Linked DNA regions of Yarrowia lipolytica. Each later gene encodes a partner of the first gene's protein in a complex. Links are inferred from orthologs where the notes say so. Each region holds a gene or a part of one and is shown on either strand. Other genes may lie near its edges.

Region 1 (3,199 bases):
TGGACATGCGGGATACAAGGGCGAAGGCCAGTGGGATATTTCCGACCAGCTCAACGCGAAGTATTCGGACTCTGTGTTCCATGCAGTTACTCAGAAGAAGAAGGTGAGTCGACCTCCTCCTCCTCAGGAAATGTATCGCAAGCCCCAGCTGCCTCCCAAGATTCCTCTCGGCATGACTCGAGATGAGTACTACGTAGCCGAGCCGGAGTATGATGGCTACCAGGGCTATTAAGCCAACTCATTACACACACACACACACACACACACACACACACACACACATTACACACTCAAGTGTCTCACATAACACGTGCTTTACACGTACTCATATTTGTATAGATAATCTACAGAACTTATTGTGTGGGCCGTACAGGTAGCTACGTTCTAGTTGGTTTATATACGGGTGGCTAAAGTAGACAACGCGTTGAGTATCGTAGCAATGCGTCTGTTCTAGTATAACGAGAAGCAGTGTACCAATGCTGTAGATACTGCTTTAGCTATAGATACTGCTCTCTCTCGCTACGTCGAAAGTGAAATACTCATCTTCAATTAATAATCTATAAAACAGGGGGCGTATTTTGTAGTTTTTTGGGTCTGGTTCAGTTCAGATCCTAAAAGTTGGCCTCGTCGTCATCTCCATCATCATCATCTTCATCACCGTTATCGAAGTATCCCTCAGCATTGTAATCGTTATCATCTTCGTCATCGTAGACATCATCTTCAATCTCCTCCTCCTCAGAATCAGCTGCCTCCTGGCCCAGACGAGCCTCCAGCTCCTTGTCATCCACCATGGTCAGGGCCTGCTGGGCCTTGAGACGTGCCTCCAGCTCCACAGGCGACAGATCGGCTTCGTCCGCCTGGATCAGCGAGTTGGCAAACTTGGAAATACCCGCTCGACGACGCTTAACATCCTCTCCAGCCTCCTTCTTTGCTCCCATGGCCTCGTGAAGCTCCTGGGGGAACAGCTCCAGAATATACGGATGCTCATCTATCGACCGACCGACCTTTCGCTTCTTTCTGTACCGATCCGTGTATCGTCTGATGCCGTCATCACACGCATCGTCTACCTCGATGAGTATCCGTGACGCCTTTTTCTGTCCGTTCGGCCCCGTCTTGACCTCCACTGAGCCTGTGTACAGAGGTCCGTCTCTGACTTCAGCCTGGAACTTATAAAACTGTGCAGCCACCTCTCGCTCCGATGCGCTGGGTGGATCCTGAAGAGGCACGTTGGCCGGAGGGTATAGATCTGTGGGGACCATAGGACCAGTCTCGATTCCGAGCTGGTACATGGCTGGGCGTCTGAATGACATGCTGTGGTGTGTGATTAAAGGAAGCTGTGGTGTGGTTTAGAGCGAATCAAGTGATGATCGATCGCGTTTGTATGTTGCTGACGTGGTTGATGGTGTGTTTTTTTTTCTCTCTCTCGACTTGTTTGCCCTCTTTTGACACTCCCCAAAGTCGACCTTGCCTCAGATGGAAATAATTTTAGATTGGGAAAAAAATTGGACCTCGAAATGCATGCATGATAAGTTTAATGGTGTGAGTGCACACTGGACAGAGTGGAAGTCAAGTGGAGGGATGTGGATAGAATGGGCCATGGAAGAGGGGAAAGGGAACGGGATGGATGGATGGATGTGTTCCGAGGGCCCTTTGTAGGTAACCGACACCCCGAAAACCCCTATTGTGCCTTTCTACATGCTACATTCCTGCTTAGTCAAAATCATAACATTGCCATAGTATGTACAAGTACCTACAATACGATACTCGTGCAAAATACAACCAACACGATGTCTATACAAATATATTACTGAAATGTCAAGGGTACTGTTTTTATGGTTGGTGGAAGATGGTGTTTTTGAAGAGGTCTTACCGGGTTCTCCAGCTAGTGTAAGAGAACACGTCAGGTATCTCCTTGTATAAGAGGTCGAGTCCATTCATTTCCATTAACATCGCTCATGGACTCGATATTTACTCCTTCTTGTCGAAAATGTGGGCTTCCTCCTCGGGAACCAACAAATCGGCAATCTCCTCGTCACTCTCGTTGACCAGCTCCATCTCCTCCTGCTTGTCGATGGCAGACTGGAGCACCTTCTTCTGCTTGTTGGCTCGGGATCGAGCAGCGGTTCCCCAGCCAGATCCGGATCCAGAGGCGATACTGGAGGCCACCTTCTCATCTTCAGGTTCCTCGAGCTCGCCCTTGGCTCGGGCAGCTCGCGTCTTCTCCAGCTCTTCTCGCTCCCGCTTGATCATCTGCTTGGTCTGGTAGTTCTTCACCATTCCCATGATCCGCGGTCGCAGAAGAATGTAGCCGGCCACAATGATGAGGAACCGGATGTAGTCTGTGGTCGTGTAGTTGTTGAAAAATGTGATTTGGTTGAGCATGGTGTTGTTGGGGGACAAGTCAGGATGCGATATTTCTTTCACGATGCAGAGCGTAACCTATGTACGAAATCTAGGTTTTGGCGTTGTCCGTGTTTTTTTGCGTCGGATTTATCGGATTTACCACGAGTGTCGGACGAAATGTAGTTGGGGGTGAAGTTGCAGAAAAACAGACTGCTAATGTTGTTTTCCCGTGTCTACACTATTGATTCCACTTTTGTACAGCCCGAAATCTCCATTATTCGCAGACATAGACGGTGGATTATGGCATTCTCACCGTCTTGTTATGGACCTCTCTACAGGTACAGTACTGTAAATTAGACGTGAAACACTGCTACCAGTATCTAAACATCCTAATAACTGCTCAAGGTCAAAAGACAACATCGGAGCAACTAACTGAAACAGAGGCGACACTGGCTTCCTGACTGCCAGAAAAGAAAAGAAAACCAACACACCCTCCCTCTTATCATACTACAGGTACAAATACAACGTACTCGTACCGGTACTCGCATAGCACAACTCACCCAACTCATGCACCAGTTTTTTTCATCAACGTCGCATAAATCCGATGTGGGGTAGGGTCCACTCGATGAATGATATAGACGAGGTGGTCGATACTGGTATTGTGGCGTATTATATAAACATCGAGAACCGCTGCCGAACTCCACCACAGCGCTTCTCCTCGTCCTCGTACCAGTACTCTATGTGAAGGCATCTGCTGATGTGTTCGCTCCACTTAGCTACTTGTAGTACGAGCACCTATCCCACGATACTTGGGAACCATCGGTTGTACTTGGAGCTTATCCTGAGAGAACAGGCA
Region 2 (2,831 bases), about 170 kb from region 1:
TGTTGCATATTGGTAATTGAAGAAAATCAGATCAAAAAGGAGCTACAAAGTAGCTAGGTCCATAAGAGCAGCTACCTCTTCAGTACATTCCTCGTACTGGAGACCACAAAGTCAGCTGGCTACCTCCCTGATAGCCACTCAACGGAGCCGTTGCTGCTGTGATACAATTACCTTCTCTTCTGCTGAGGGTAGTGGCAGCATCTATCTGAGCCCCTTTCGGCCACGGTCTAGAACAACCACAAAGACAACCTGGTCTCTCTTATACCATACTAGTGACTGGCACATCTCCCTACATCTGTATCAACCGTCAGCACCCTTCCACACCTCCACCCCCACCACCAACATCTAAAGTACAATAATTAATCTATTTGAGGCTCTTCTTCCTCCATGATCCTCCATGCCGTTTCCTATTCCGTGTTCCATGAACCGTCTGAAATACCTGATAGCGCCATATGTAAGTCTGTTCAACCAGCAGAGTCGATGCAAGCGGTAGAAGGCAGCATCGAATGCTAAGCAAAAGTCGCGTGGCTCCCTCCGCTTAGAGACAAATTCGGTAACTGGCGTACCGTCCAGAGGTCTCCGACCGTCGGATAATCTTGACAATCTGGCCTCGTCGCAGACCTAGGTACCGCGCAACAGGGTCCTCCCGCTGGATTCGGGGCAGCTGCGACTCCTTCAGTCGGTACCGTTCCAGCAGAAACTTCTTCTCTGCGCCAGACAGCTTGATGTGAGTGGGCACCAGAACGTGCTTGGTGATGTTGACCAGCAGATCGGTCTCCTGGAAGGTGTCGATGGTGGCGGGAGCAACCGAAGGGATGAGTCGGTTGGCGGACGGAGTCATGTTGTTTTCGTACACCAGGATACCCGTGGCAAACTTGTTTTCCGAAATGTGGATGCAAAAGTTTCGCATCGTCTTGACCGTCACACTGGCCTCCTCACAGAACTCGACCCAAATGTTGCCCATTTCGGGGAACTTTTCGATGGCTTCGGGCGAGGGAGACGCCATGAAACACATTTTCTTCTTGATGGGCTTGCCCATGGGATCACACATCTCCGACACAAACTGGTCGAAGGACAGATTCACCTCCTTGTCGGTGATGGTGTAGCCCCGGTCCTTGACCAGCTCCTTGGCCGTTCGGTACACTTTCCAAAGCTTCTGTGCGTCGTCCGATGACATGTCGATTGATGTGAGTGGTGCGAATAGATGTGTTGGTGATGTGACCAGACGGTTTGCAAAGGCGTGCACTCATTTTTTTGCACACTGCATATTTTCGTCACTAGCGGGGTTAGGGCCCGAGGTTAATAGGAGGAGTTGGGTGTGTGTGTGTGTGTGCGTGAGGGGAAGGTTGTCAGTTCGATCCGCCAACAACGCAAATTATATTGTGGGGAGGTTTGAGTGTGGGAAACACCAGAGACTTGCTGTTTTTGTCATATGTCTCTTCTCCAACGCAGATATATTAACCAGTTGAATTTCAGCTGAATCGTTGCTTCCTTGGTCACATACCCTTACAGGCACTCAGTAGAGTCAAATTCACCATCAGTGCTTCTGTTACTTAGAAATTAGTTAAAGGAAAATGTAGACTAGGGGGGCAAAATCGGTGTTCCAGAGCAGCTAGAGTGATGGCGAATATATAATTTGGAATAAAATCTGCCACATATTCATCTTATTAAGCAAAAGCTCTCCTTTATGTAGAGAAACTAGCTGTAAAACTGCTTTTTGGGAATATCTAAGAACTGACATTAGTTGAAAGTTTGTTAACTGAAAAGTCGAGCTTCACCTAAAGCCGCTTCCTAATCGTCGCCATAGGAACCAAGGAAACGAAGCTGTCCAGACAGCACCATCAATCGGTCCATGTTTATCTTGTGTGCTTCTTAAGACAACGAATATAATAATGGCTATGGAATACATACTCTGGACGTGGCAAACCCACAGCAGCAGTTTACTCATCTCCAACCCAGTCATTCCTCAAAATGCATTAAATAAACGGGCTAATACTGTCCCGATGAGCTGCACTTGGTACAGCTGTAAGAATCTATGAACGTAGGCAACACACTGGCCTGTCGACTCAGCAAAATGCTCACCCACTCAGTGCTGCTCAGTGTTGCTCGGCGATCACCTAGTAATCCACGCACACACTGAATTACACAAAACGATAATTGATAACCACGTCTCCTCCCGTCTTCCACAGGCTTCTCACACTGGCCAACGTCTCCTTAGGTCCCAGAACACGGCCCTGACAGGACAACTCAATGGTTTCAGGATTAGGTCTAGACGCCAGATGATCGCTAATGTAATTAGTAATCCTCTTAATACGCAGCATTCGGTACGCACTGAGTCTAGGGGGGTTGATGGCATCCTTCTCGTGCTCCGGTGTCAGCGTGAAGTTCACCTTGACGGGATCCTTGTGTGGAATCTGGTTGAACAGAAGCAAATTTACCACCCAATCGGGCAGGTCGTTGTAATGACTCTCAAACTTGTCGCGCTGCTCACACACCAAGTCCATGTTTTCGCCAAAGTCAGAATTGTATTGCGAAATGATAACCACGACATTGGGGATCTCGAGCTTGGGGAGGGATGGTGGCTTGAGCAGAGAGGCGTCGCTTGAAGACGCATACTTGGCCCGTGTAGTTGCAGTAATGGCTTCCAGGTTGGGAGGAGGCACATCGGCAGCAGCAGAAGAGGCGGCAGCAGCGTTGGCGGCAGTAGACGGTCGGGTAGTGGCCACGGGAGAAGTGGGCTTACTTGTACCGTTAGTTGTGGCCGCGGCTGCTGCCGTGTTGACTGTGGGGGTGGAAGAGGCACCAGCGACGGAATTTCGCTTCTTTTTGCC

What was found. Proteins that work in one complex are often made in the same cells at the same time.
Region 2: YALI1_D10033g (region 1) and YALI1_D08285g share a complex: the UniProt entries of both Saccharomyces cerevisiae proteins name them as parts of the RNA polymerase III (Pol III) complex. The link is inferred for Yarrowia lipolytica from reciprocal best matches to the Saccharomyces cerevisiae genes RPC31 and RPB5.

What each region holds. Positions count from the first base shown.
Region 1 is NC_090773.1:1,001,481-1,004,679, reverse strand, and holds YALI1_D10033g (uncharacterized protein), read right to left. Parts: upstream 1,311-3,199; coding exon 612-1,310; downstream 1-611. Other genes in the region: YALI1_D10067g (uncharacterized protein), read left to right, coding at 1-232; YALI1_D10022g (uncharacterized protein), read right to left, coding at 1,969-2,382. UniProt on the Saccharomyces cerevisiae protein: DNA-dependent RNA polymerase catalyzes the transcription of DNA into RNA using the four ribonucleoside triphosphates as substrates. Specific peripheric component of RNA polymerase III which synthesizes small RNAs, such as 5S rRNA and tRNAs.
Region 2 is NC_090773.1:826,933-829,763, reverse strand, and holds YALI1_D08285g (uncharacterized protein), read right to left. Parts: upstream 1,178-2,831; coding exon 539-1,177; downstream 1-538. Other genes in the region: YALI1_D08251g (uncharacterized protein), read right to left, coding at 2,142-2,831. UniProt on the Saccharomyces cerevisiae protein: DNA-dependent RNA polymerases catalyze the transcription of DNA into RNA using the four ribonucleoside triphosphates as substrates.